Linked DNA regions of Struthio camelus. The protein of the gene in region 3 interacts with the protein of the main gene of each other region in a pairwise test. Links are inferred from orthologs where the notes say so. Each region holds a gene or a part of one and is shown on either strand. Other genes may lie near its edges.

Region 1 (10,082 bases), on a different chromosome or scaffold from region 3:
AACCTGAGCACAGCCTCCACAGAAAGAGGCTTTCGGGATCAATCCCAAAGGGCACCAATCTAAGGGATGCTCTGTTGTCAAGACTTCTTCACTAAGGAGAGCTATGAAGACACCTTATGGAGTTATGTAAAAGAAATTACAGGGCACTGCATGGAACAATTTACTAAAGAAAATACGTATCTTCAGCTCTGTCTGATGGGAAAACTGAAGGAGTAAGAGTGACACGGCACTCCAAATATTTGAAGCTAATGGGAGGTGCACGTGCTCAGCACCACAGGTTGGGGAAAAGGTCTAAATGATCTGTTTGCAACCCGTCATGAGTCAGTGCCCAAACCAGAAATGGAATCTGCGCGTCCCAAAAGACAGCCCTTAATCAAAGCTTACATATTCAAAGCGATCCTTGCAGAGCTGAACCATGAGGTGAAGAAACACAAGTCCTGAGAACCAGAGGCACCACATGACCACTTCTTCCACTGTCTGAACATTCAGCACGCCAAAAATAAAGATGAACTTGTAGAAAATGAAATTCCAGAATTTATCCTTGAGATGCTGAAAAGGAAGACACTTGGTTACTGTAGTGAAAGCACCGACAACTCACATGCATAAAACTGCCTGCTCATAGCAGATAATACGCAGGGGAGAAAGGGAGGGAGAGAAAATGATGGGAATAGCAACATGAAAATATGTTAACAAAGGACAGTTGCATACCCACCCAGAATAGTATTTGTTAACCTTACAGAATCTCAAACCATATTAGAAATATTAGAAGCCCTTAGTATCTACTCAGTCTTTGGTGCCACTGCAGCAAAATAGTGCCACATAGCGCACAGCGTGCTTTCCTGCCATATTTCTAAAATGGTGCTTAGCACAAAGGAGGTCTGATCTTGATTAGATTTTCCATGCCCAAGCAGCGGGCCTGTTGGGCCACAAACATCAAGTTTTCTCTGCTGGATTGATTAGATGAACGGCCACGCTTAGTTAGAGCGGGTGCCCACCTGACGTGGCACCTCACTTCCAAAAAAACTGTCCAAAAATACACACTAACTACTTTTCACATCAAGTGCAGAGATGATTAAGAAAAGGTGACGAAGTCTGCTCTTAAAAAGCACAATGCAAACAGCGACGAACGAGATGGATGAGCAATAAAAAATTAATTATTCCCACGCACACACAGTATGAAAGAAACAGTATGATGGTCTCAAATAGCAAATAAAAAAGACGTTGGAGATGGAAAAATTTTATAAAATGGAATGTTTTGTTCAAGAACAGGATGAAGAACATGACCAGTAGGGTAGTTAAGACAGGTGCAAAATTCCTGCAGGATGTTTTAAAAATCTTCTCACCTAGCCTAAGACCAGAACCAAACAATCTGAGTTTTCAGTCCTTTCACCTCACCTTCCCTTGGGTACCTACATGCCAACCCCTTTTACACCTGAGGACAGACAGACCATCTATTCAATGTCTGAAGATAGAAAGTACGCACACTCCTCTGGCAGTCAAGGCACAAGACAACTTGCAAGAGTGAACTCAACCTGCCAGTGCAGACAACTAACTAACTATGAAATGCAGAGGAAAAGCTGTCAAATGCAAGCTTAACAGAGAAGAATACACACACACATATATATACACACATACACATATATAGATATAGAGTGAGAGAGAGAGAGAGAGAAATATTCCGAAATGAGGTGCCCTTTTAAGAAATCTGACAACGTTTATTAAGGAAATAGGATTTTCAAGTTGACCATGGGCTTGTAAAAAACAACAGCAACAATTAAAATGAAAAATTCCACTCAGAAATAAACTGCAAGCTTGTGGCTCTGGATACGAGCTAAGTAATACTTGCGTGACAAACTGATGGGTTTCTCGGGTGGATTTTCTCCTCTGCGGTTTTAGTGGATAGCGTTTTCCAGAGGAAGAACTCCAAATGGTAAGATTTAAGCTTACACTGTTTTAAAACTTATATTTATTGTATAACTTTCAGGAAGTTCATTATAGAAAACTACACCAGTCATCCACCGAGAAATTACGCTACGTGAAAGCAACACGGATATCCAAGGCAATGCGTTTGCCCATCTTACCTGCCTCTCACTAACACGAAGGGGACCAAACACCATATACTGGATCAGTTTGGCGACCAACATCAGAAAACAGCAGGCAGTGTTCACTAGTACCTGAAAAGAAACAAAGCAGTCAGCAGCAAATACTTCAGCTCTGCTCAAAAAGGGAGAGGGACGGGGAAAGCCGGAGTCTAGCAGAACCACCCGTTGCTCACGGAAGAGGGGTTTTTGCTTGTTTGCGTTATTGTTTTTTCCTTTTAAAAGTGAAGTTTCTGCGTGGCCTCTTCCAAGACACGTGTTGTAGCTGATAACTCACTTGACTTTCTTTCTAGGAACACTAACGTGATCAGTTTGATACGTCAGTATACCCCACAAACAAATCTACCTCTTCACGATAAACTGATAAAAATTAGCACGTTTAACACTAAGGAACGCGGAGCCGAAGACTTATAGATCACCAACACACAGGAGATCAGAAAACTCCAGTTCAAACCTGTTAAGCGTTACAAGAAGAAGATTCAGAAATTGTCTCTAAATATACTCAATAACGCGTATACTTTCTGTAACTACACTGCTTAAATCCTTGGATCACAGCCGTGGGCAACTGTTTTAAACCAAAGCAGCAAGAAGCAGAACACACGGGCCTGGGAAAATCGTTTCTCCTACTGGACGACGATACTTTTGACCCATACAGAACACCAAAAGCGGGAGGAAAAAAGCGACGAGGCCGCCTCATCCTCTCGCTCTTAAAGGCCACGCAACCAACTTTTTCTAGGGCTTTCAATTAAGCTCCTAAGCCCAAGTTTCAAAACGGACTCAACAGGCTTAATACCTTAAGCACATCCAAAATCAAAGCCCCAGTCAAGGCGGTAGGCTGTAAAGCAGACGCCTAACAAGGCGAAGTTAAACAGTGACAGCCCAGCTAGGTTTTTCGGTAGCCCCTTTTTGAGCCTTTATGTCACTAGACACGATACGGAAAGGAGTGCAGGAAGATTTCTCGCTTTATATCTATACCATTGTCAGGCTCGGGTTTCAAGAGCTGCGCACATTTTTTCCTTCCCCCCCTTTTTTTTTTTGTTTGTTTAGATGGTGAGAACGATTCGTATCACCTGCATGACTTCACCTTCTTCTTTTTTTTTTTCTCCTCTTTTTAAACTAAAAAAGGCAACGCTTCGGAGCCGGGGTTGACTACGCGCCTCTCTCGCAGCCCCACGCTCAGCGCCGAGCCCGCCGCCGCGGCCCCCGGGCAGCTACGTCTTTTTTCCAGCGACCCAACCGCTCAGGGAGCGTTTCCCAAACAACGACAAAAAAAAAAACCCTGTTCAAAGCCGGGACTGAGGCTCCCGAGCAGCTTCGGAACCAGCTTAACGGCCCTGCGGGCCTCACCCGGCGCCGGGCGGGCCCGACCCGGCCCGCTGCAGGCCGGACCTCGAAGCTGCGGGCCGCCCCAGCGCGGCGGCCCCGGCCGGGGGGGGCGGCGAGGCGGGACGCGGCGGCCCCGCCGCTCCACCGCGCTCCGGCCGGGCCCGGCCGCCCCCGCCACCAGGCTGCTCCGCGGCGGCTCCCCGCACCCGCCGCGGGCAGGGCCCGGCCCCCCCCCCGCCGCCGCCGCCGCCCGGAGCGCAGCGCAGCGCAGCGCAGGGGAGGAGAGGGGAGGGATCGCGGCCCCCCGCCCGCCGCCGCCCCCGGTCTCACCCAGACGCAGAGGCTGTCCGAGAGCAGGTAGTAGGCGACGTCGAGGGCCAGGGCCCCGGCGCGGCGCGGCGGCTCCGCTCGCCCGCCGCCCTCCGCCTCGGCGCCGCCGGGGGCCTGGCTAAGGGCGCGGTAGGCGCTGAGGCCGCAGCCCAGCAGCGCCAGGGCGCTCAGCGCCGTGTAGGTGCGCAGGCTGGGCCAGGGGAAGCGCTCCAGGAAGAGCAGCGGCATGGCGGAGCCCCCTGCGCCGCCCGCCCGGCCCCGACCCGGGCCGCGGCCTCCCGCTTCGCTCCGCGCTTCCCCTCCGCTCCTGCGGCCTAACGCCCGCCCCGCCGCCTCCCTCCCTCCCCCCCCGCCAGCGGCGCCGCCCCTCGCCGGGCCGGGCCGGGCCGCCCCCGCGCCGGCTCTCGCCCTGGCGACCCGCCGGGGCCGCGCGGCGCTGAGTCACGCTCGGCCGCGGTCGGGCTGCCCCCCCCCGCCAGCGCGTACTCTGCCCCGGTGCCCGGCGGCGCCTCTCCCGGGCAGCCGGGCGGAACGGGAAACTTAAGTCCTTGCCAGTCGTTTGGCAAAAGGCTGGAGGCTACAGGCCTGCGGAAGCGACGCCTAGCCCTACTTATTACCTGCGACAGGAGGACGAGAGCAAGCCCAAGTAGCGTAATCCCTTGCAAGAGGGCACAATACACGTGTGTGCTGCAGAAGGACAGTAGCATATGGGGACCCCTGCATACTCCCCAAAAGTTCAGTCCTAGAGCTTTCTCCTCAGAAAAATTAGAAAGTTAATTTTACTCTCAGATTTTATCCAAATGTCAGAGCAGTCGAACAGAAGGTAGTGGAGGGTTTTTTTTCCCTTCCTCCTTCAGGGGAAGGGGAAGTTGCACGTTATTTCATTCAAGCCCTGTACAAACAGGGAAGTTCCAGATCAGTGCTGATGAGCTTTGAACAGCAGCCACACCTGCCTTTAAGTATTCATACTCTCTCAAAACAGCAATTCAGGTCCTCTAACTTTTAGCAAAGACACTCAACATGATATTGCACAGACTTATACTTTTCAGACTCCCTGTCAGACTAATTCTCTACTCAAGGATGCGGGTCAGAGAGCATCTCAGTGCTCCCAAGAACAGGTTAGGTCCTCCTGTTTCCCCAAGATCTCCTGATTTCCTGAAGGAAAGTAATAAAGTCTAAAATATGTTCTTAAAAGGGGGAGACAAGTAAAAAGGACAAACAGAATCTGATCCATTTTGTTTAATGTTGTACAAAAAAAATTTGGTGAGTATTACAATGAAAAGTGATTAAAACACTGATATCACACTGCCATCCCACTATCTAAACAGTTGAGATTCACTTCTCTATTCATACAATAGAAAGTTTAGTGGCCTTCAGGAAAAGAACGACATAAAAAAATCCTTGCGTCACACGTATTCTTTTCTCTACATTTTTAAAGCTGTGCTCACAGAGACGGCTTCTTCTATCACACTCCTCAGGTATATGGGAATTCAGTTGTAAATAAAGTTGAACCTAAAATTAAAAGGATTATACCAAGTGAGAGACTTAATTCCTTTCATTTAAGGAACACTTTTGAATTAATAAGCAAATGTTTTGTTTCTGTTCTTAATAAGCCTCCTTCTGACAGAGGGGGGGGGAAAAAAAAAACCTTTTAATAGGACAGCTTTGGTATAACCAGGAAGCATTATCTGTAACAACAGATGCTAGGCTAGCATCGTACATCAGCCTCTTAGGAGAGGACATACTTAGTTCTTCCTGCACCTTTTAGCAAGCTTCACAGATACGAAAATACCAGTGCAAGTTTTGCACCCTGTACACAACTCTTTCGCAGCATTTCTATGACCAGCACCATCCCGATACACTCCAGGAGTAACAGATGGACATACTCAACAGAAGAGTCATTCTTGTAAACTAAATTTCACAGCAGACAGAAGAGCACTGTACAAATATTCCTGATAAGCTATACTGTGAAAATAAGCATCCATCTCAACTTGCAGATGTCCTTCCTTTCAATGTCTGTTGCAGAGGTACCAAATTGGCATTAGGATGAGTAATGGCCAGCGTTTTGCTAGTACTCTTGAGAAAGCTTCTGCTGTCTTTACATGGAGCCGGGGCAAAAGCTTCTATAGCAGTTGTTGCCAAAATTGAGTATAGACAGAGGACAAATATACACAGCATGCAAACTTATTATAGGTGATATCAATTCCAACATTCTGCTAATAGAGAATAGATGGATGACGTAACTCCTTCCCCTGAGTAACAACTGACAGGCTGTAGCACGTCTGGAACTCCTGAACATTTGCTGAAGTAACAGAAATTCGTAAGACTAGTTAGCTCTGGACACCTGAGGTACAAGCCGTTTTCAAATAAGTGGAAAGAATGCGCTTGCTAGGAAAAGGGAGGAAAGAATACAGCTGTCCCTACAGGTATCTGTGTTATAAGTGCACTTTAACTACATAGAGTCTGGAGGGGAAAAAAAACAAAAAACAAAAACACATTTAATCACCACAGAAAGCAGTGATAACATGAATGCCTAACTCAATGCTTCAAACATGAGTCTGTTTTTATTCTCACACTATCTGCAATACTCAAAAAGTTCCTTAGTACATGCAGAGCTTCGTCTTCACTATCTTTCAGATTTTCCTTTCATTAAACTACCAGGTAAGACTCTGGTGCTAGTAAGTTGAAATCACTGTCTCTAAACTGTCAACACCATCTACCTATTCCTCATGTCCCACAGCTTTCCCACCTCACATTTTTATAAATCCATCATGTCCAAGCTCTTCAGGGCAGCGACAATCATTTTGTTTCTGTATTGCCCCACTTTGCTATGGTGTCACAGCTCTCAGGAACTGTAATACAAGGTATAATATACCTGCTCAGAAGTTGAGGAAGGCTGGAAATTATGGGTCCATATCCTGGTGCGTTGTCATAGAGCTCAAACAACGGCGCGGCTACTAGCTTATAATTTTTGGGGACTGCAAACAAAGCTAAGAACAAGTACAAGTTAATTAATATTAAATGAAAGAACACCAAGCATTCAGCCAAGATGTTGCTCCCCACTCCCAGCCAAACACAAGATCACCGCATATAGCACTATAGTACTAGAATGGCTTTATTTCATTTATAGTTGGACATGGGGCTCATGTGCTGTACACGTACTGACATAGGAGCAGTAATGGGAATATACTAGAAACTCATGTTCAGAAAAGCTCATGTACCTTCATAATTGACCCCAGCACTTACGTTTTTTAAGGCTTCTTCACAGTTATATGCTTGCTCATTAAAAACTGCAAGCGAGTTTTACTGAATCTTGGTACCACATTTCCTTGCATGAAATGAAAGTATTTATAGAGTTTTATAAATGCAACTCCCTGTTGCAAACACTTACCCTTTTCTTGAAGCTGGACCAAGAAAAGCTTTTTGTGCTCTTTTGGTTTTGTAATATGAGCTGGGATATAGGGATACTGAAAGAAAAAACAAATTTACTTGTACATATCTTTGAAAATATTGTGCGCTCTTAAGTGCTGCTCTATAATTAAGAGACTCGGAAGAGCACTGTGGAAGCTTCCAGCAGGTTATCATATATTCTTCTTTCATGGTATGAGACAATGAAAAATACTTTTATAAGGATGTATGCAGAAAAGAACGCTGGTTGGCCTCATGACCGTTTACAGGATCTAAAAAGAGATGCCAGTACTCGTAACCCGTTAAAACAACCCAACAAGACAGAAACACATGGCAGCAAACTGAGCAAGTATTTTCAATATTAAAGCATTTAGAAATAAGGCAATGAGATTATTTTGTTTACACGGCATCTGTTTCAGATGTACCAGTGCATGAGTTTCCATCATGGATCAAACAGGAGTTTAGATGGTGTGTCCAGCTCAGCACAGGACCAGAAACCACCGCATCCAGTGGTTACTTATCTATTGGGAGGCGCACAAGGAGGGAAAAACGGTTTCCCAAAGAAAAAGTTTGTAGGTTGGATCCTTCCTCCTCAGCCAGAGGAAAGGAGGAGACAGGTGAAACCCAGCAGGACCAACTGCTCATGCAGCAGGTATGCGCTCACAACTGGCAAGTTGAGGCTTCTGTAAGAACAGTCAGTATTTGCCTCTAAAGAACATAAGTGCAGACCCAGGTACTCACCTGTGGAGGTTCAAAGTTTGGTCTCCACCAGTTACCAATGCAGTCATCAATTACCCAGTCTTGCTGAACACCATCTTGGCGCCCCAGTATCTATCAAAAACCCAGGTACAGTCAAAACTCTAAACAACCCATGCCATTTTCTTAGAAAACACACAGCGGAAGCACAAAGAGATGCTGTAATAAGGGTCTGATGCAGTTCAGAGCCAGGCTGGAACAGCTTTTATTAGAATGTCAGAAGATTACTTCTGTATAAAGTGACACAGGACAAGGACATTTTAGAAAGCATTTCAAATTTTGTGTTATATTCAGTTGAACTGAGTGCCCTAAGTCCAATAGGAAGAATGAAGTGCAATGTTTCAGTGACAGCACCAGTAAGTACCTTTACGAACAATCACAAAAGAGTAAAACTGATAGAAACGGTAAGACAATTACTGCAACGCTTTGGCTTGTTAACTCTAGAATAATTCAGCATTCCATAACATTCCAGTATAGCCAACATAAGGAAAGAAAACTGACCTCTGTCATTAAGCGTTTGAGCCCTTCTACCTCATCTTCCCCTGGATTGAGTTCACCACCAGGTCTGTTAAAATAATCAGCCATATTATTGCTGATAACCAATGATGAAAGCTAAAGTTATGCTTTATTATATTTATAGGCATTCACAGGTATGTTTGGATGTTCTTCCAGGTAGGGAATTACAAATTCATTCAGGGCCCTTCAGCCTTAAGTTCCAAATCTTATTTTTCCAAGCTTGAAGACAGAGTAACACTGCTTTTACCAAAACTGTGACTGAAATAACTACTGCATGTCCTTCTAGAAAAGGAACTAAAAGTGCTATATACATGGTAATAACTGAGATGCTTAAGAGGTGAAGTTTTAACAATGACAGAAAAGCACCAGAACAGAGTTGAAGAAAAGGTTGTAGATATTGACTGCATTTGGCCTAATCTCAAGAATAACACGCATTGAAGCAGAAAATAAAACTCTTCTGGAGAACCATTTAATGTAAGGTTAATGCAAAAAACCTAGGAGGACTCTTCAATACCTATTTTCAAAAAAACTTTCAGACTCTAGTCTATTTTTGTCCCCTCCCTCACCCTCCAAATAAGATGTCAAAAAAAGAAAGCGGATACAGATTCCCCACCAGCACACACTAAAGAACAAACAACGTGCTAAAAATATAAGACAGAACACAAGCAGGATAACCTGAGACAAGTCAAGCCCATACAGTTAAAACTAAAACAAAATCAAGCACCAACTTCATCACTACAAACATACGATCCAACCCCGAAAGTTTCATTCCTGCAGTGACAAGTATTAGACCTTCCTAATTGTACCCAGCTCACTTGGTAGTTTGCAAACAGCTATCATTTTGCGTTTACCCCAGCTTCCTGCCTTAAGCTTCACCTTGCTATTTTTCTGCCCACAGCATAAGTATATTTAAACATAACACAGCTTTCGCAATGCAGGGATAAAGCACAAAGTTCTGATAACGAGTTTTAAATAGGAACCCTCTATTGTGACACAGCATAAGACTCCCAGTTGGTTCAAAGCTACGTGAGCACAGACAAAAATACTTTTTACGAGAAAACCTCACCATTCAAAATATTTTTAGGCTTTGTAACAAGTGAATCAAACATTCAAAACCTCTGACAGAGCTAGTCACACTTTAACCTCTAATCTACCCACTTAGTGCTTTGCGACTTTAAAGTCGCACTAAAAAGTTGGTCAAGGAGTAGATACTTACAGCTTGAAAAAAGTTGTACCCAGCTGCAGTAACAACACATGGGGCAGCCTGTGCTCGTGCACAATCAGAACCCCTTCCACTGTCCGCCTCATGCCAATCTTGTCAAATTCTTCCCTCATGCGTTGAAACCGAGCTGCCACTGAGCTGTCCTTCTCATAGAGGGGTTCCTTTGTACCGAACGTATAATTCGTAAGAGGATACCTACAAGGAAAAAGGGTTACTACGTGACAAGAAATTCAAGTTAAAACCACATGCGCTATTATGACACAGCATTCATCCAGAGGCAGAACCATCTGTACTCAAGTGAAAAGTAGCTGGTTCATAGCAGCAGACTAGAAGTTTTTGTTGGCAAGTTGATTTATGTGGATCACATCACACAGAGACTTGCACTATGATATAGAAGTACAGAAAGTTATGCTGACTGACAGGCT
Region 2 (9,854 bases), on a different chromosome or scaffold from region 3:
CGCTCGGCGTGCCTCCGCGGCGAGCCGGCGGGCGGATGAAAGGCAGATGTGCCGGGCGGAAGCTGCCCGCCGGATCCGTCCAGGCCTGCACCTCTTCGCGCAACGCCGTCCGGGGCGAGAGGGGCCCCGCTCTCCGGGGAAGGCAGCCCGGCCGGCCGCCCTGCTTCCCCGCGCCTCCCAGGAGCGGCTCTCCGCTTCCCCGCGAAGGCTCCTTGCGCCGCGGCGTAACCCTCGGGGCAGCTTCCCGCCGGCCTCAAAATCCCCCAGAAGGGCATTTTTTTGGCTTGCTTTAGGGCTCACGTGATTACTGGGGAGCTGCTGGGGCCGTCAGACCTCTGGCTTCAGGGCACCGGGGCACCGTCCCACGGGGGCGTGTTTCACACCCCGTCCGTCCCCCCGCACCCCTGGGAGCGCTCCCCAATGCCTCCGTCCCGCAGCTCAGGAAAATGCCCTCTCCTGCCCTCCCTTCCTCGGCCAGGCTCCCGGTGCCTTAGTTGTGTCTCCCCTCTCCTTCCCTTCCTCTTCTGCACAGCCTTTATTTGGGGATTATTAACCATGGCTACGGGGGCCTTTGTTTAGGAGCGGAGCCGCGGGCGAGGGGCTGGGCAGGCGGAGGAAGGAAGGACGTGAGCGGAAGGGGGGAAGGAAGGTGACATCTGGATTTCTGCGCTGGAGGAGCGCAATCTCCACGGGCAGCTGTGTGGGGGGCTCAGCGGATGCAGACCCGTGGCAAAGCCCCAAAAAGAGGGGCCCGGCCGGTGATAGAGAGACCCGGGGGTTACCCAGGCTCGCGCCATGCAGAATGCTGCCCTGGTGGTCCGCCCCGCGGGTGGGTGCAGCGGGCAGGAAAAGGACGCAGGTGTCCCGGGTCTCCAGCTGCCCTGCAAGGGCTGGCTCGCGCGGTGTGAACGACACGGTTTGGGCCCGGCTTTGCTGAGAGCAGCGTAAGGACGAAAGGGAGGCTGTGGCGCCTTCCCGGGCACTGCTCGCTCCCTGCCCCGGGGAGGCCCGACCCTCGCTATGCGCAGGACGGACGGACAAGGACAGCTGGAGGAGCGCTCCCGGGGGAAACCTTAGCCGGCAGACGGCCACCACCAAGGCTTGAGGGAAGGAGCCCCCCGCCCAGGGCTGGCCCTGTCCCTCGGCGTCCCCAAGACATGGCCTCCCCACGGCTCAGAGCAGGTGCAGCCCCGCTGCAGCGTGCAAACAGCCACGTACTGCACACTCGCTCGCGCACACGTACAGCCAGAGCAGGACGGTCACATATATGCCTGGGGCTCCACTCCCAGCCCCTAATCCCCTGCGCTCCTGGTGCAAGGGGAAGGCTGTGGGGCTGGCGGTAGGGTGTGAAAAGGGCGGCTGGGTAGCTGGGAGCCCGGGGACAGCTATTTTTAACCCAGCCTTTTCCTTCGGAAGACTTCTGAGTTCATCTCCCCCCTCGTGCTGGCCGGAAAAAGGCCCCATTGTCTTGGCGCCAGATGGGCTGGGGCCGGGCACTCGCCGGCACAATAGGGCGGATTATGTGCCCGGCCAGCGGGGGGTCCGGCAGCAGGGATGCCCAGGAGGAGCAGCTGCCTCCAGCATCCCCGGCACCCGCGCCGCACTCCCGCCGCACGCCGCCGAGGCCAGGGGTCCAGGCGGGCTCATTCATTGCCCGCTGCTAATCCCCCGGCTCCCGGCGGGGCGGCGCGGGCTGGCTCTGCCAATAAGCGGAGCACCACGTTGCCCGGCTGAGGACCAGCCCTACGAACCACCGCCCCCAAAACGGGGATTCCTGCTCATCGGCCTCGCCTGCGGCCGCTCGCCCCTGCGCCTCCTTTCTCCGCACAAGCATCAGTGCAGGGGCAGGCCAGCCAGGGTCCCCCGCTGGGGGCAGGACGCCTGGGCTCTCCCCCCGCTCAGCACTGCTCCCCTCCTCATCCCCTGGGGCTCCCCAGGCGGGAGGGACAGGGACCGGGGCTTTGGGCCATCCCCGGCGAGGCTGCCCGGCCCAGTCCCCTGGCTTCCCCGGCTGGCTGCCGGCTGCCCCAGGGCTGGCTGAGCTGCCCGCCGCCGGGGAGAGCCAGCGTCGGGGCCCGGTGTCACCCTCCAGGGTCGCCTTGGTGCTGGTGCTGCCTGCAGCGTTGGGGGGTGCTCCCCCCGGACGGCTCATTAAGGGCAACCGCAAGGAAGGGTAACGAGAGATGAGCCCCAGGCAGAGGGACGCACCGGATCACCCGGGCCCAGGGGAGCGGAGGGGCCCGCCGGGCCGAGCAGGGATTTCTCTGTGCAGGACTTTCCCATGGAAGAGGACTTGCTTTTCCCAGGGCCGCCTGGCTGGGCTCCAGGAGGAGACGAACATCCCAGCTCCCGTCGCGGGGAGCCGCGCAGCCCGCCAGAAGCAAGGTGGGCAGCCCTCGTGCTCGAGCTTTCCCACAGGTTTGCAGGCAGAACAAAGGCAGGGACGGCAGGAAAGGTGCCTCTTCCTGGGGACGGGCGATCTGTCCTGCGGCTCCCGAGGCGTCCTTGGGGCTCTGCCCCACCGCGAGGGCCCGAGGCGAGGCGAGGCCGCGCCGGCCAGGGCGCTGGCTGCCCTTTCGGCGCTGGCGGGAGCGTGTGCGTCGGCGAGGGTGATCACCTGCGTCTTCAGAGCGAGGCGAAGGCCAGAGGAAGAACCTTGCTGCCTTGGAGCCGGGCCAGGTGAGCCGGGGGACGGGGACTTTCCTGGAGCGGATACGCCGGAACGACCTATTGTTTGCGCCTGGCTTGCAAGCGCAGGGTCTGCCTGCACCCGCGGTCGCGCCAGGACATCTGCCTGCCCGGCGGCGAGGGCATCTTGGAGGGACCCGGAGTAAGGCTGCTGGCCGGGGTCAGGAAGCCGGTGCTGGCTGCCTTCTCCCACAGCACCAGGGCGGCCGGGCCGTGCGCGTGGCCCGGCGTGGGCGCGCCAGGGCATCTTCGGGGATGGTCCCAGGTGCCTGGCTGGGAGCGACGGCACGGTGCCAGCTGGACCCGCAGCCCAGAAACGCCCTTCCTGCCTCTGGGACGTGCCAACGGGGGAAGCTGGCCCCGGGTGGAGCAGGGGGAGGCCAGCAGAGCCTGCACATCCCCTGGCCCGGAGGGAGCCCTGGCTGCCCCCAGCGCCGTTCCCCCACCAGCACCCCCTCCGCAGCCTGCGCGCCTCGCTGCCAGCCCTGTCTCTGCCTCCTTTCCCCCGTTCCCCCGCCGCCCCACGGGGGCTCCGGCGGGACCTGCCCGGCGTGCCCCGCCGGCACGGCACGGGCTCCGGCGGCGGTCGCTCAGCCCACCTGGTTGGCCCCACTTTCCCGCAGTGCCCCGCGGGGTCCCAAAGGAGCACCGAGGGCCCCGACGAGGGGCAGCGAGGCCGACGAGCGGGGCCGGCGCGGGGCGCCCTGCCCTGCTGCCGCAGCTGCCGCGGGCACAGCTGGCGGCGGGGTGGCATCGCGCCCGGACCTCCGGCAAGTGCGGGGACAGCTGGCCGGGACCCTCCTGGCCACCGCCCAGCTGCCTGAGCCACCCAGGCAGGGACCTCCGTCCCGCAGGGGCTCTGCGGAGGTGAAGCGCGGCCCGCCAGCACGGAGCAGTTCCCGCCGGGGGTCTGCAAGCCGCCCTCGCCTGCCTCCGCGGGGACGGCCGAGCCCTGGCCTCTCTGCCGCAGCTCTGCCAGCTCCGCCTGCCCCGCGCAAGGTCCCAGGCGAGCCCCGGGGGGGCCCTGCGCCCCGGCCATCGGTCAGAGCCGCCGTGCCAGCAGGGACCCGGAAACGCCGTCAGGAGACCACCGCTGCCCCCAGCATCCTGCTGCTGCCGCACGCTGTGCCCACCCTGCAGGGACACGGCACCCACCCTGCAGGGACACAGCACCCGCCATGCAAGGACATTGCACCCACCCTGCAGGGACACAGCACCTGCCCTGCAGGGACACTGCACCTGCCCTGCGGGGACATTGCACCCACCTTGCAGGGACATGGCAGGCGCCATGCAAGGACATCACACCCACCCTGCAGGGACACAGCACCTGCCCTGTGGGGACACTATGCCCACCCTGCAGGGACACTATGCCCACCCTGCAGGGCTGCAGCGGGGCAGGGGCTGAGCCAGGAGCCGGCGGCCGAGGCGAGGCTGGGGCAAGCAGAGAGGGGGCACACGTGCCCCTCCGCCACCCCGGCCCCTGCAGCAGCGAAGGAAAAGCGCCGCCGGGGAGCTGCGACCTCCCAAACCTGCACTCCTCGCTCCCGTCTCCGTGCCCCTGCGGGGGGAGGCTCCTGGGGCATGGGCCCGGGGTGCCAGGGACGGTGCCGGGAGCGGGGCAGGGGCGCTGGGAGGGGGGAAGCAGCCGCAGGGGCCCGAACGGCCCCTCCCCGCGGCCGCGGGGAAGGAATGAATGAAGCGCGCGCAGCCGCTGGGCTCTGCCCTTTTTTTTTTTTTTTTTTAAGTAATAAGAAATCCAAACATTACCATAAATGCTCAAAGCATCTTGGCCCCCGTCACGTGGGTACCGGCGCGCACACACACCGCCGGGGGGGTCCAGGCACCGGGCCGGGGAGGGAGCACACAGCCGAAACCCAGTGAGCCCGGGAGGGAGGGGAAGGAGGATGGAGGGGATCCGGCCGGCGGGACAGACTCCCGGCGGGGAGTGCACACACACACACATGCACACGCACACACACGCACGCTCGAGGGCTGGGCGGTACCCGGGAGCATCAGCCGGCGCGAGGTGCTGGGACACGGCCCCTCTTGCCCCTGGCTCTTGCCCCAGCTCAGGGAATTAGAGGGGGTGAAAAAACGCGAGGGAAAGGGAGGGCGGCTGCTCTGGGCCTGCCGCCGGGCAGGCGTCCTGGTCCCCCAGGGCTCCTCCCTTGCTGCCCGGCGGCGCCGCGCTCTGCTCCCTGGTGACGAGCTCCTGAGGGTGCGGATGTCTTTCCCATGGATCATTCCCTGTGCTCGCTCTCCCCTTCCTTAAAAAGCCTGGGCTCCAGGGCTGGATTTTCCTGGGCTTGTCGTCACCATCAGGGCGGCGGCGCTGGACTGTCTCCCGGGGGGCACAGCGGAGGGGAGGAGGTGCGAGATGTTGGCAGCCCAGCACCCCGCCCGGGAGCTGGCAGGGACGGCGGGAGCTGCTCAGGGCTGTTGCGTCGGGAACTTTGACCTGCAAAGCAAACTAGGCCCCTCACCATAACCTTGGGCCAGGTAATAGCCCCAGGTTTATTTTGGGGCCTTGGGTAGGAAATCGGTTGGCTGCAGCGAGAGCGGTACTGCCCCAGCCTGACCCTGGGCCGTGCCTACTCCCAGTGCAGGGACTGGGGACAGAGCCAGCACCAGGCAGCACAGGGGACACAAAGGCCGCACGTGACCCATCCCTGTCCCAGACACATTCTGCCCCAGCTGTCCGCACTAGTGAGCATGAACCTTCTCAGCGCCCGGGCTGAGACCGTTGCACACTCACCACACGTGTGACCCCCATGAGCCGCCGCCACCCCCCAACAGCCCCACCGCGGGCCCTTTAAATCCACCCCGCCGTGGGCGGGGCCTGGCCCGGCAGCACCAGCCAACCGGAGGCGGCTCTGGGGGAGCGGCGGACAGAAGCCACGCCCCCGCGCCCACTTCCCCCCCCCCCCCCCCCCCCCGCCCCGCCGCCGCGTCCTCCGAACCGCCCAATGGGAGGCGGGAAGAAGCGTCCGCCGCCGCTCATTGGCCGGCGGCGCGCCACCGCCCGCGGCAAGATGGCGGCGCCCAGCGGCAGGGGGTGCGGTGCGGGCCGCGGCTGAGGGGCGCCCGCCCCAGCACCGGGGGGGCCGCCGCGACCGGCGCCCCCCTGCTCCCCGCCGCCTTCCCCTGCTCGTCTCGGTAGCCTCGGCCTCCCCCCCGGCCGTTACAGCCCTTCCCCGCCCCGCCCCGAGCCTCGGGCCCGGGCCCCCCTCGCTGCCCCGGGCCTCCCCCCCCGACCGTTACAGCCCTTCCCCGGGGTCCCCCAACCCCCCTGCCCCCCGGGGCCTGGGACCCCCTCGCTGCCCCGGGGCCCCCCCGACCGTTACAGCCCTTCCCCTGCGTCCCCTAATCCCCTTACCCCGGTAACCTCGGGGCCTGGGACCCCCTGGCTGCCCCAGGCCCCCCCCGCACCCGAGCCTCGGGATCGGGCCCCCCTGGCTGCCCCGGGGCCCCCCTGACTGTTACAGCCCTTCCCCGGCTCCCCGCCCCCCCCCCGACCCTCGGGTCCCCTCTATCCATCCCCTTCCCCTAGGACCGTTAGGCCCACCTGCCCCCATCCCGGGCTCCCCTTGCCCCAAAGCCCCCTCCCCCCCACCTCCTGGCTCCTCTGCAGCCCCCCTCTGGCCCCGTGCGCCCGTCCACGTGCTCCCGGGTCGCCCGCCCAGCCCCACCATGGACCTGGTGTTCCTGCTGCTCCGCGGCCTGCGGCTGGCTCTGGACCTCCTGGGCTTCGTGCTGGACGTGAACTTCTTCCTGGTGTCCTCGCTGGTGTCGGCGTTGCTGTGGCTGGTCGCCTTGGTCTACAACCTCCCCGGCACCGCGGCGGCTAGCGCGCTCGCCTGCTGGAACGGACTGCTCCTCTGCTTGGCGTCCCTGGCCGAGGCGGCGTGCTACCTGGCGCTGGGTGTCGTGCACGGCCTTGCCGGCCTGCTGCGCAGCTGCTGCTCCAGCCTGGAGGGGCTCAAGGTGGTGGGGCACCTCCTCTCTCATCTGGCGCTGCGGAGCAAGGAGTTGCTCCACCGCGGGCTCTGCAACCTGCTCGGCTCTGGCCAGACCTTGGTGAGGCAGGTGTGCGAGGGCCTGGCCATTGGCATGAGCCTGCTCGCGTACTTCGTTAACAGCATCATCAACATGTGCCTCATCGGCATGCAGAACCTCTTCACCTTGCTGGTGGCCCTGTGGGATTCAATCGTCAGCCCCTTCCTGAGAGTCACCGACCTCCTGGCCGCTTTCCTCGCGCATGTCTCCAGCAGCGCCATCGCCGTGTCCATTCTGCTGTGGTCGCCTTGCCAGCTGGCCTTCGAGATCCTGGCCTCCATCACCAAGCTCTTGATCAACGTCTTCTTTGTGAATATCTATGGCCTGGTCTTGCTCATCCTTATTATTGTCGTCAGCACTTTTGTCTTCAACCCCGGGCTGCTGTGGATGCTGGCAGGCCATGTGCTTGGGTACTTGAACACGCTGCCATCCTACCACCGCCTGCAGAGGGATGCGTGGCGGCTCTATCAGGTGGCGCTCCTGACGCTGGGCATGGTCATGACCTCTCAGGCCTGGCGCAGGTTGCTGGACTGGAGTCTCCAGGTGGCCAACTGGAGCAGAGGAGGCAGAACGATGAACCAGGCGAGCAATCAGCGAGGGGCAGCCATGCCTGCCTCAAGACCAGCAGCTCCTGGCAGGGGGGTGCTGGCAGGGGGCGGCCAGCTGGCAGGTGGGGAGCACGAGGACCAGCCAGACGTGGAGCAGGTACCACATGCGCGCCCGGCTCTGAGTCGAAGCACTGTTACAGGACAGCGTCTCCAGGCACCCAGGGAAGAACCGAGCACCTCCTGGGGGAAAGCTCCAAGGAGAGAGCAGCTGAACGCAGCAGCTGGGGATGGTGAGGCTGCTCTGGACGATGACCCCTGGATGCTCCTGAAGGAACAAGAGGAACGTAAGAAATGTGTCATCTGTCAAGACCAAACCAAGACAGTCCTGCTCCTGCCTTGCAGGCACCTGTGCCTATGTCAGGAGTGCACAGAAGTCCTCCTCCAGCAGGCCATCTACCAGCGCAACTGCCCGCTGTGTCGCCAGATGATCCTGCAGACGCTCAATGTGTACTTGTGAACCCAGGAGCGAGTAGCTTGGGCTGTTTTTCCAGAAGGTCAAGGACCATCCCTGTTGCTGCCTCTCGCCTGGAAGCAGAATCACTCTTCCCAGTGCTGCCTCGAGTTTTCCAAAGAGCTAAGGATGATGCTGAAAGGGGAAGAGGCTGTTGGGGGTGTCTGTCAGCCACACTTGTAATTGTAACTAGCCTGTAGCTGTCGCTAGCAAGCACAATAGCTGATCTCTGCAGCAGGCCAAAAGAGTTATCTTTTTCTGTTGACATTTGCTGTTTCAGGGCCTGTTGCCTTGAGCTTACAGCAGTTTGAAATCCAAAGCAGAGCTCAGAAAGATGCTCTGGTCCCTCCTAGCCAAAGCTGGTGGAAAGCTTCATGACCTCCTGGGAATCACAAGGGCTAGCGCAAAGCAAAGGAGGGCTTTGCTGCCAAGATTTGGCCAGCAGCTGCCTGAAAACTACCTGGCAGACTCCATTCATACCTGTCCTTCCCCCTCCCACCAAACCAACTCCCAGGGAAGGGAGCAATGTGCCCCTTTTGGGAGGCCCTAGGCAAGCCATGAGCACCCTCCAGTTTTTAGGCTTTGCTACCAAAGGGCTGAGTTTGGCTCCCAGCTGGAGAACAGCAGGATTTCTGGGGCCACAGCAATACTTGGGTATCCCAGCCACTGTGGCTTTTGGTTTTGATCTTCCTCTTCCCCTTGCTGGGATAGTGAGGAGCCGCAGAGAACGCGGGCTCCCTGCAGGCTGGCCAGCTGCAGAGCTCAGTGTTGCTGCTGCTTCCATGTGTCACCTATGCAAGAATAATGAGCACATACCAGGTTACTCACATGTGGGCCAGGGGGTGGGGGGGTTACTCTCTCTGCAGAGGCAGTGGTGCTGCTTGGAGAGCCCGGGAGGTGGCCCGCGTTCGCACAGCCCTGCCCTAACCTCGGTAGCAGCAGCGCGTGTGTGAGCTAATGCTGGAGAATCCTCCCTAGATAATACAGATTTTAGAGCCCGGCCTCCGGACTTGGATTGCCAAGGAGCTGGGTGGTTCATAACAAAGCTTGCTGCGTGCCAGGCTGGGCGGGCTAGAGCGAGCGACCATCTGGGAGGAGAGGGGACACCCCCAATCCTCCTGGGAGCCCACTGAGACATTCCAGTTCCTGGTACGAGTGCTGCACGGCTGCGCTGTGGATCCACAGTTGTGTACGTGCAGCAGTACTGGGACCCCAGCTGTATTTGATTACAGCAAGGTTCCTCTGCTGTTCTGTCTTACTGCCTGTCTGAAATGTGAAATGCAACTAATTTTATTTAAAAGTGTCCCCGGAAGTCAAACCATACTATCGGCTGCTGGCTGGGGAGAGCTGAGACGGCTTGTCCCAGCTTGGTCAACCAGCACCATTCCAAGAAATTGCTGGACTCCAAGAGGGCCTTGCATTAAAAAGCTCTCCCTTTTCCAGCTGCTTGCCCGGGGTCAGCCGTGCTCCAGAGCCAATTTTGGCTGGAGCACTTAAATCGGGAAGAGCCTCAACGCCTCGATCACAAGCCAAGAGCCTGCAGGCAGCTGGCGTGGTTTCCTCACTGCTCCTGTTAACTAATAATTGATAAGTGATCTAAGTCCAAGTGGAGGCGGCAGCAAGGCCAGGCCATGCCGGGAGACGCCTTTTCGCTGCAAACCTAAGCTGTGGCAAGGACAAGATATGATGAAAGCGGCGCTGCTCTGGGGAGGGCACTGCAGGGGCTGGTTCCCTGCCCTGGGCTCCTGCGGGGGTCCTCGCTCAAGAGGAGCGGGGCAGCTGGACCCTCCCCACCGCGCGCCTTTGGAGGCACCTGGGAGTGGGGCTGCTGGCCGTGCTCCTGCCTGCGGGCAGAAGTGTTTGGTTGGGGACAGCTCATGGGTGCTGGGGCGCAGGGTTCCCCAGGTGCTTTTTCAGGGAAGGAAGGACACCTTCCCAGGACTGCAGTTTCTCCCCTCAAGCCCCCTTTCTATTGTAGCAGTCACGCTTGTCTTTTTAGGGCCTGTTTGTTTGCTGTTTATAAACAAAGAGAGAAAGCTTTGCCTTAAGGT
Region 3 (10,849 bases):
AAACAAGAACAAATTTTGCATTTATCTTATTTTACTGTAGCATGACTACAGGCTAAAACTAATATACTACATATCAGTACAGACAGATAACTGAAGGTTACATAAAGGACTAAATCACTTAGCGGACAGGAGAAATACTATTACTTTCCACTCACTCTGGCCTCATTCATGGTATTTGCATTTTTTAGTTTAAGGAATGATTAAAGTTTTCATCTTCAATAGTCTTTCACCAATGGCATCACTAAATATTTCAAGTACTTAATAACTACCAATAATTTCATTGTGTTTATATCCCAGAGTCGGCTGTAACTACTAAGTAATTACTCTTTTAATTTACTGTATTTAATATTTTATTTGAAATAACATAAATAATTTGCTGTCTTATGACCCCCTAACAGCAACATCATTGTTTTTTTTTTAAACTCATTGAAGAGTTGTTTTTTCTTACTTTTTTTTTTTTTTTAAGTTTTTTGTTTGTTTGTTTTAAGTTACATTAAAAATAGTTTAGAACTTTTCTGGACAGAGCTGTCGGATCAGTAAAGAGGAAATGATTTCCAAATTACTACATAAACATGTTGCAAACACTGAAGAAATATTAAGCAATAAATAGTTGTTCTGCAAGCAGCTAGAAACACAGAACTTCCCCTGAGAATGGAAGAGCAGGTAAAGAATAAAAACAAAGAAGCTCAACTGAAAATATAGGGAAAAAAATTGTTTCTAAACAAAGTGTCAAATTCTGAATTAACACCTTTCCCTAAACCCACAGATATCAAATGTTCATGCCTTAAGCTCGAAATATGCTTTTTATCCACAATGCTGACTTTTTAATTACTACCATTCTACCCTTCCCCTCCTTAAATGTTTAATACCCCGTTCCTTGCAAACCTGAATTCTCAATGGACATATTTGAATGCAAACATGTCTATGGAAACAGTTTTAAAGGTGTACTTTAATACCAGAATAACTTCTGCTCTCTTCATTTGAATTAGGCACATGAGGTTTGTACAAGAAGATATTCAAATCTGATTAAATACAGAGCTAATGTAATTAATGACATTAAAAGCTTTAGTAAAGAGTGCAGAATGTTAGCCCTCACCTCATGTTTGATTAGGACTTTATTTTTGCCCTTGAAAACTGCCTGCTATATGGGCCACCATCAAAACACCTGTACACATCAAAATAAAACAGACTAAGTTTTTTCCAACAACAAAATTTAACTTTTCCTGCAAAATATCTGTCTAAAAAGGTACTTAACAAAATAAACAATCATACGCTAGATTTGAATGTAGAATTTATGTTACAGTTCGAGACCGTTCAGAACTTTAGCACAAAACACAAGCCACTAGCAATACAGACGCTTCCCACAAATTTCATCCCAATCTTTTTAGCCAATGGGTAAGGGGATAGGGAAAATGTATACAAGCTACTGAAATCTCAATAAAAACTGCTTTAAATTATGCTCTGAGTACATTTTTATGTTATGTTACCTAGAGCTTTAATGTTTAAGATTAGAAGTGTTACACGAAATTTTCTTAAGCAAATACATTCTATCTACGCAGTCTATGCACCACTCACAATCTTCCAGAATACTACTGTTTTTCATGAAGAAGTTGCACAAGCTTAGCCTTTTTTTCCTGTAAATAATCTTTAAAAAATGCTTTTCCATCAAGTTCTTTGTTAAAAGAAATAGTATTTGATTAAAATCCTGCAAATCATATTTAAATCAACCTAGTGATAGAACTAGCCAACACTTTCCAACCACTGTGTTGTCTAAAACAAAATACAAGATCTCACCAACACTAGTTTCTATTTTTCTGAATAGTCAGAGAAAACTACAATTAAAAAAATGTTACTGCAGATGAAGTTCATTATAAATTGAAATTCTGCACGTTCTGCTCAAACACCCAAGCTTTACAAGTCATTATGCATCAAGTGAACTACAGTAGCTGTTGAGGTGGATGTTCATTGCTATTATCAAAAGGAGGTAATTTGATACAGTTTAAAAACTTTCCTTGTAGCCTGACAGAATAGGCTGATCAAGCATTCGAGCTCTAAGTTAATCAAAGAAATGTCAGTGGGTCTGTAAAAGAATATCATCAACCTAGGGCACATACAACACTGTACAAAATGAGAGCACTTTAAAAAGTGATCTAAAATTTACATATCAACTTATCATTTTAATGAGAAAAATCAGTATGTTGTATATTGTCATACCACATATAGCTACCAAAACATTTAGCTATCCTGCTTAACCACAGATTTCAGGGTGCTTAAGAATCAGTATCAGCAAATGCCCTGGAAAAAGTTGCCCAACAAAAATACTAGATAACTAGCATTTGCCCACTCAGCCTACCTAACACTTAACATTTTTAGGATTCAAACTTCAAGATTCGAATTATGATATTTATTATCCTCAAGTCTTGGACCAGACTAATACCAAAGGTTATGTACACGTCACTTTTTTCAAATTAGTGCTGTTAACTCTCACATTTTAAACTAAACTTTAAAGTCATTGATTTTTTTAAACAAAGGTTGACCCCCAGTAAAATAATACAGTGGGTGATGTTAGTGTGATGTCAACCAATTTAATTGTAATAATCCTCTCTATTCTTCAAATCTTTTCTTGATGTCGGTTTCATTAACTCTCCAGATACAGGCTCAATTTTTAAATTTTTTTTTAAATAAAAATATCTCTTCAAGATATCAGACTAGCTATTTTTAGTTTAAGAAGTTTAAGTAAACTAGTTTTAAAAAAACTCTACAAATTCATACTTCCAATTTTATTGCTCATCTTTAGGATAAAGGGAAGAAAAATTCTGTCAGGTTATACGATTGGTAAGATTAAAAAACCTCCATAATTTTCCTTCAATCTCTCATCACAACATCACAAAATATCATTAAAAAAACCCACAGAAATCTTGCAGATAGCATTTCTAAAATGAAGGAATTACAATACTGGACTTACCACTGCCATATTTTCAGGAAAAGAGTACCACCTCAACATATCACTGTCATCGTCCTTTCAGACAGCATTCACGTATTTTAAGCAACCTTACTTAATTTGTAATCACCATTTCTCTTTTACAAAGTGAGCAGCAGGAACAACGGTGAGGCAAGCTGTACAAGGTCATTTAATAGGCCAGAGATAGCAACGCAGCACAGGTTTACAGAGTCCCAGGGAATGTATCCTTAAAGTTTCCAAATTATCATTTCCCTAGGGTTTTTACACAGTTCTAAACAAGACTCTGCTTAATGAACTATTGCTTCTATTTTGCAGCCTTGCTTGTAAGAGCTTGAACATTCAAAAAAAAAAAATTACAAAATACATTTGCCAGATAGAGCTGATAGACTAATCTGTCTTTGGTTTATCTTATTTAAACTGCTACTAAATCAAGAACTTGCGGTACAGTATGTTCATGTTCTGATCCCATTTCAGTAACTCAAAAAGACATACAATGCTTTTTTATTCTTCCAAACCTCATCAGCAAAATCTTTACCCAATAAGAGTCAATGTTCTGACATTTTACTTCTCATTATCACTGGAAATCCAGGCTAGTCAGGACAAATTTATCTAATTTGATTTAGTTTGTACACTCTTTCTGCACTGTCCCATTTAGTAGTAACAGAAAAAAGTAACCTACACTGGACCACAATGAAAATAAAAAGGAGGAAAAAAAAAAGTAGCAGCAGCTTGAGGAGTAAAACGGAAGTAGTAGATCATCTGGATCTAAATACAACATCAAACATTTTATAATTTAGCAAGAAAAATATTACAGGTGAAATAAGAACAGGGGCATAGCCACAAAACCAGGTAATCTTTTGTCCTGCCCGTGTCCTAGGCATGTCACGGAACAAATCACCACCCGTTCAGAATAGCACACAGTGAAAGTGATCCATTCTTTCAGATCAATTTCTACAGCTACTATTTTAAAACTCCTTCGGAGAAGGTATAAATAAATAATTCAAGTGGAAATACCTGTCAAGCAGCAGGATGTTTCTTGCTACCGCACCTACAGCAACCCCATCCAACCAAGCCAAACTGGACGTTATCTGTCCATCAGACTGAAACCACACTACGAGCTTATTTTAGAGAGAAAGACAGAACGAACCTCACAGGCAGCACCTGCACACTGCTTAGGATAAAACTGGTCTGTCGCAACCACCCTGTGCTTGAGCAGAATTAACAGGGCCGTAACCTCAGAAACTCTCGGAAGGTGGCCACATCCTTCAACACCGTCCTCACGACGGCCCCGGCGAGGCCACCCCGCCGCGCTGGTCGACCACGCCGCCGCAAAGGGGGAGCCCGCCACCTCCCCAGGAGCCAACAACGCCTCGGCGCCCTCAAACCCCGCCCGGGCCACGGCTCTCTTCGCTCTTCCCCCGCCACCAACCCCCCCCCCCCCCCCACCGCTCCCCGGAGGGCTGCATCGCGGCCGGACCTCTCCTGGGGCCAAGCCGCCCTCGGGGCCGGCAGCCGCTCCGTCCTTCCCCTACAGGATCTCTGCCCTTCCCGCCTCCTCCCCCGCCGGGCCGGCCTGCCCCGCCCGCCCGCCCGCCCTCCCTCACTCCCTGCTCCCTCCTCCCTTCCCTTCCCCTCGCCACAGCCGGGGCCGGCCTCGCCCCTCACAGCCTCCCCCTGCGGCTCCCAGCTCCATCCCGCCGCCGGCAACGAGCTCTACCCTACTTCCCTCACGGCCCCGGCCCCGCCGAGCGGCAGGCGGCGCCCCCGGCCCCGAGCCCGCCTCAGGGCCTCGCCGCAACGGACCCCCAACCGCTGCCCCAACGGGGGCTCCCCTCGCCCCGACGGCCCCGCTCCCCCCACCCTCAAGTGGCTCCTCCCGCCCTCAGGGCGCCGCTGCCCAGGCCCTGCCGGCGCTGGCCACCCCCCCCCCGCCTGCCCGGCTCCGCCGCAAGCTCCTCACCTGCATAGACGCCATGATGGATCCACCCCCCGCCCCTCTGCGCCGCCGGCCCAGACCCACAGAGACGCAGCGCCGCGCGCCCGTCTCCTCCCCGCCCTCGCCGGTCACGTGGGAAGCGCTGCCCTCGGCCCGGCCGCGCATGCGCCGGGGGCGGGGAGGGCTGGCGGCGGCGGCGGCACTCTCGTCATGGGGTTCGCCCCCGCGGGCTGGCCTCGCCCGCTGCCGAGCGGAGCGGGTTTCCTCCGAGGGGAAGCTTTTGGGGGGGGCAGCCCTAGAGCGTCAGCCCGGACCATTCCTGAGCACGCTGTGGGAAGGAGTCGTGAAAAACCGGCCCCATCGCCCCCTGCCGCGTCAGGCGGGGGGGGGGAGGGGCGGCCGTTGGGGGCCGCGCGCGGGGGGGAGGGGCGGCCGTTGGGAGCCGCGTGAGGCGGGAAGGCCGGGCGGGTGGCCTCGGCCTCGGCGCCGCCGCCGCCCTGACACCCGGCAGCGCCGGCGAGGCATGGCTGTGCCTCCTCACTCCTTTCTTTAGCGAGGACCAAGTGGTTGCCGTATTTTTCCGGGTTTGGAGGGATTCGCCAGCTCCAAAAAGGCAAACGGTTCTCCCTGCTGATGGACGTGGTTGCCGTGCTGGAGTTAGAACTGCTGTGCGAGCGGTGGCCTACATATTTTTAAAGGTTTTTTAGAACTGCACATCCACAGTCCTTAAGGGATTTAGTTAATGCCAGCTGTTCCCTTTTATGGGTTTCTGCAAGTTCGTCTCATATTTGATTTGTCATTTCGGGAAAGGAGGATTAGAGATCCACAGCAGGCAGTGCTAGGGTCTGCATTTTGGACTAAGTACCCTGGGTTTATTAGCTGGCTTGCTGCAGGAAAACGTCTGGCTATAATTTGTGGTGATGGAAATTGTCCTGATGAGGAGGGAGAAGTTTCTCTTTGTCTCCCATGCTGCACCATCAGAGTTCTTCAGATAATCTCTGATTTGGACTTTTTTCTGCACCTGTGGCCTCGGTGCCTGAATTACAGAGCATGAATATATTGTAAGTGGGAGAATTTTTTTGGATCCTACATTTTCATTTCCTGGATTGGAATATTTTCTGTCCTTTGCACCAAACACTCTTGTGGTAACTTACCAGGTGAAAATAAACAAGCAGCACTTGCAGGAATTAACTTACATGCAATCAGTGAATTAAGCACCTTGAAGAAACACTTTTCACAAAAGCTATTCCAGCTGTATTTCAGACCTACCTGATCCTCCAAGGGAACCAACAAAATATTTTTCCAAAGACAAACCTATAAAACCCACAGTCCTAGTGGATACCTAAAACCAACAACTTAATAAAGATAATGGTTTTATGGCTCATTATAATCTCCATGTCCCCACTAATGTCTCTCTATGTGCCAAGGGAAGTAAACTACCTATCTTTCTGTCTTCCTTGGCAATAGGAAGGGTGTTTCACCCTTCTCACCTTTCCAACTCTCATCCTTTCTACTCCACAGGTAGCACCTACTTTTTTTTTCAGAGATGGCCAAACTGAAGTTTTGAACAGTTGTTCTCAATTTGTATTTAGCTTTGAAGTCTGCTGTTTCAGTTTTAGACCTAAAGAAGGCTTGTGCATCTTGCCTACTTTCTATAATCACTTTATTTGGTATGATACAAGGTATTACTTCTACATGCAGGCTTTACCTTCCTGTATGCTCCATACATATGCCCAGCTTTGAAAACTGCTAACTGGAGAAAAACAAAAACCCAACACGCAATGTCACGTCAGATTCAAACTTGCATCCAGATTCAGCAAAGTTGCAATAGTTAAACTGAGTGTACAAACCTCTGTGGTTTGCTTAAAGGGAACAACAGAAGGCAACAGGAATATCATTCCTCAGTGGGCTAGCTGCAGAAGGGATTGAACCTGCTGCTGTTGCAGGAATTTGCTGATGACAAAATTGTGAGTGTGTGTAGATTTTAGAGTATGAAAGGAGATTAGCCTACCAAAAGTAAGGATAGAAAAAGCATTGCAGTGCATCCAGGAAGCTAAATCCTTTACTTTTTGTCCTGTGAATTCAATCTAACCTAGCCTCAATTCTGAGTTTTCATTAGCTCAGTCACAAACCTATAGGCTCCTTGAGCACTGTAAACAAGCATTGCTCTACTGACTTCAATTAAGTGACACTTAAGTCACAAGAGTCTTCCATCTGTTTTTCCTGGAAGTCAATGTTTATGTGCTGTATTACGTCTTGACACAACTTGAGTTGTGAAAGATTTATTGTGTTAAAGAGACGTTTAGAACTAGTGAAAATTTTTCGCGCAGTCCTTCAGAACTAACTTAGGCAGTTACAATATTAGGTGCAACATTGTTATTACTATTTTACTAGATGTTGTTGTTTTACATGATTGAGACATATGTTTATCCTAAAATACATTTCTTAATGCCATATGCCACACAGACAGCAAGAACATCAAGTTTAGGCAGTGGACATGTGTTCAGCTATAAACAGGGACATATTGACTGTTCGTGTTGATGTAATCACAGTGGGATAAAACTGATTTGAATCCATTATATTCAGTTTCTTAACCTGTTACAGGAAACCCTCTCTAAGGTCAGAATATACAACAAGGCATAAGTGTATGAATGCCCCTATGTTTGATAGATTGCAAAGTGGTTTTGCTCTTGTGCGTTTACCAGATACAGTAAATGAAAAGATCAGCTTTGTAGTCTTAAGGATAACTGTAATCAATACAAATATGACGTCCACTCTGTAGTAAAGAAAAAATTCTGTAGACAAAACGCTGCTTTAGCAAAAACACATTGCTTGTTACTGTTCTTTTCTTTGGGAATTCTTTTTCTGGTCACACTTTCAATCTGAAAAACAGGCACCTGCAACACTTTGGACTAAAATAACATTTACTGAGATAACCTCATCCACACTGCAAATCCCATTCCTGAGAACAGCAGACATGTAAAGCAAGGAATAGAATCTGCCCTTCACATAAACTATAAGACATAAATGGATTACTACCTACCATGTCCTAGCTGGATGTGTAAGAAGCTGAGCTGTGTTACTGTGCAGCTGCAGTCTGTGACCAGAGTCCCCTTATCCCTAACTTCAGTTTGAGCAGTTAATTCTTACAGGACTACCAGAGATTTCTTCTATTAATGTTTTCATCTGTTGTTTTCTCATGTGTCATGCAATCACCTAATATAGGTGTGCAACATTTTTAGCTCCTCTTGTTGTTTTTTGGAATAGGAAAGCTGGAGAATTATCCTTGGGTTTTATTGTTGTTTTCTCCTTCCCCATGTCTCATATCAGTAACCTTGGTTGCAGAGTCTCCTTTTTTTAGTAAGTGTTTGTACAGTCCCTAATGCGATAGGGGTTCAATCCCTTAAGCACAATAGTAAAACGTATACAATTAACAGACTTCTGGAAAGAATTTGTATGAACATTTTCTTCTTTAAATTCATTTCAATTCGTGATTTTGTGATGGCTCATACTGTTCTTTGCTCTAAGTAATTTAACCAGGGAAAAACCCAAACTCCCAGAGAGCATAGATTTCAGAAAGAGTAGGTTTTATAGTAGTTTGCTGTTCATTTCAGTGCTGACCTCTACCTATACTTTTATAATTAACCCTTATCAATCTGTTGCAGGTGTAAAGATAGCCAACACAATAATTGACAGCTTTTCTTTTATTAAAGAAAGCTTTAATATTTGGCCCATACACTCTGACCCTGCACCAGTCAACCCAAGTTTTGCCAGAGACTTCAAAGATTGGAATCCTAGGCCCAAACATTCAAAACTTTAGAGGTAAAATGAATTTCATCTATCTTCATTATTTCAGGAGCTATCTTGTATTGGTCTGATCAAATACACTTTTATGCCTTGCATATCTAATACATATAGTGCAAATCATGAGGACTGAGCCATACCTCCTACTAAAAATGTTTCTGTAAATATTCATGCACTTGACTTGGAAATTCACTTTTTTCCATAGGTTGCATTACCTTAAGTTTACAGAAAAAATTAAAAATGCAATGTTCAAAGTGCATTTATTAGATTATCTTCTGATGTGTCTAGCCAGTTTCACAAAGGCCAAATATGTCTCCCTGTTTGGGTCCTTATAATTTTGTATTCCATTTCTTCCATTATCTGTAAGGTTTTCACAAACATTGCCGAACTGTTTTTTCCTCTGCTGTCCCTTTAATCCTCTGTCATTTTTCTGTATACTGAGTTGTCTGTCACTGCCTGCTTCTCTGCAATTTCTGCAGCTATAACATTGAAGAGAGACAGAGAAAGAGAGAAAGAGATCTTCTGAGTCTACTGCACTTGTCTAGCTTTACATCTTGTCTCCTTCTCACACCGAACTTAACTGTACATTCATGTTAATCTCCCTGTGTTACTCCAGTGACATAGCAAGCATACTCTGCAGCACCAGGAGACCACATCTCATGAGTGAGGAGGAGGACCACATTCCTCCCAGAGCAATTGGGCCAACTTCTCCTTCCACTGCTGTTTGCCAGTTTGACGGAGGGCATTAAACTACAAGTCTCTGAAACAAATCTTCTGAAAAACACAAACTTGACTCACCTGCAGAAAACACTATCTGCATCTTACCAGTAAAAGCTTTAGAATCAAACCAAGACAATAGATATTATTTACAAGTTTCAAGTAATTTACTAGAAATAATTCTCAACTTAAATGGAGTGTTGCTTCTGAAAAGCATTATACGTCAATTTAATATGATAATACAGAACATTTTTTTCCCAGTGTAAGAAGATAAATGAAATCCTTTATGCCAAATACAAATAGATCCTAGATAATGTTTAGGCTTGGTGATGCCAAACAAAACTGAGAACTATTTATGTGAGAGATAATTAACTTACCTGACAAATATTCCATTGTTTTACTAGTCAGAGTAGCAAGAATTTATAGTGACCCAAGACATGAATTATTTATTATTTATGGCTTTCTGTGGTGGTGATTTTAAAAATAAAGGGGTTCTATTATTACATGCAAATACAATATCAGTAGTATTGGGGGGGGGGAGGCCTTCGTTATGAATTCTCACCTGAAAAGCAGTTTTAAATTTGAATTAATATTGAAAGAATTCACAGTATTTATGTTTTTAATTTCAGAGTATCTTCTGGTTGAACTATCACTAATTTTCAACTGGATAGAAATAGGCAACAAATAAATAAGGTCCAGCATTAATCTATGCATATATTCCCCCCAAATTATCTCAGAGCATGATTCTGAAAATCAGTCACTTTATCATTATCAGTGATAATCAATGAGATTTTAAGTTGTCTAAAAATGGTCAAGTTGTTACTTTCTCCAACCTAAAAGGCAATACATATTTCAGGGGCAATTTTAAGTTAATTTTCAAATTCTACTCTCAACAACCGAGGCTACAAAACTGATTATATGATTAAGGTCTTGAAAACTGTCTAAATGTGTTAAGTTCAATAGGATAAAAAACTGAAGTATTCCATTTGTCAAAAAATAATCTCGATCTTAAATCTTTGATTTTCCTCCCACATAGTGTGGGAGGAAAATCCTATATTCTGTACACATAAAACAGCAACATGGCAATGATAGAGGGACATGTTTTTTTTTTTTTTTAATCTCAGTGACCTTTCTCCCATATAGGACAGATTGCACCATAGCCTACATTTGTAGATGTAACATACTCAAAGCTTTATTTCATGACACAGAACACTAGTTAAAATAAGGTTTAAAATATATTTATTGAATTGATAAAAAGTCACTTTTCCTTTCTCTGTGCTACCCTAGTGATGACACTGAAACAAACTTCATAGGTGAATAATAATGACAAAAGCTACTGTGTGCTCTTTTCTGGCTTTTTCAATCTCATGCAACACATCTAGTTCACAGTATTGCTATGTTCCCACACAGTTACCACCTCCTAAGCTACC

Evidence for each region.
Region 1: the proteins of UBE2W (region 3) and AMFR interact in a two-hybrid assay, tested with the Homo sapiens proteins (2 studies listed by BioGRID and IntAct). The link is inferred for Struthio camelus from reciprocal best matches to the Homo sapiens genes UBE2W and AMFR.
Region 2: the proteins of UBE2W (region 3) and RNF26 interact in a two-hybrid assay, tested with the Homo sapiens proteins (2 studies listed by BioGRID and IntAct). The link is inferred for Struthio camelus from reciprocal best matches to the Homo sapiens genes UBE2W and RNF26.

The regions. Positions count from the first base shown.
Region 1 is NC_090951.1:21,994,551-22,004,632, forward strand, and holds the start of AMFR (E3 ubiquitin-protein ligase AMFR), read right to left. Parts: upstream 4,079-10,082; 5' UTR 3,984-4,078; coding exon 3,756-3,983; intron 3,191-3,755; exon of another isoform or gene 3,176-3,190; coding exon of another isoform or gene 3,170-3,175; intron 2,175-3,169; coding exon 2,082-2,174; intron 550-2,081; coding exon 385-549; intron 1-384. Other genes in the region: NUDT21 (cleavage and polyadenylation specificity factor subunit 5), read right to left, coding at 5,246-5,267, 6,631-6,745, 7,147-7,222, 7,905-7,994, 8,421-8,484, 9,652-9,852. UniProt on the Homo sapiens protein: E3 ubiquitin-protein ligase that mediates the polyubiquitination of lysine and cysteine residues on target proteins, such as CD3D, CYP3A4, CFTR, INSIG1, SOAT2/ACAT2 and APOB for proteasomal degradation.
Region 2 is NC_090963.1:3,184,800-3,194,653, forward strand, and holds the start of RNF26 (E3 ubiquitin-protein ligase RNF26), read left to right. Parts: upstream 1-5,776; 5' UTR 5,777-6,378; coding exon 6,379-7,809; 3' UTR 7,810-9,854. UniProt on the Homo sapiens protein: E3 ubiquitin-protein ligase that plays a key role in endosome organization by retaining vesicles in the perinuclear cloud.
Region 3 is NC_090943.1:129,384,536-129,395,384, reverse strand, and holds the start of UBE2W (ubiquitin-conjugating enzyme E2 W), read right to left. Parts: upstream 5,023-10,849; 5' UTR 4,938-5,022; coding exon 4,923-4,937; intron 4,536-4,922; exon of another isoform or gene 4,440-4,535; intron 4,058-4,439; exon of another isoform or gene 3,977-4,057; intron 1-3,976. UniProt on the Homo sapiens protein: Accepts ubiquitin from the E1 complex and catalyzes its covalent attachment to other proteins.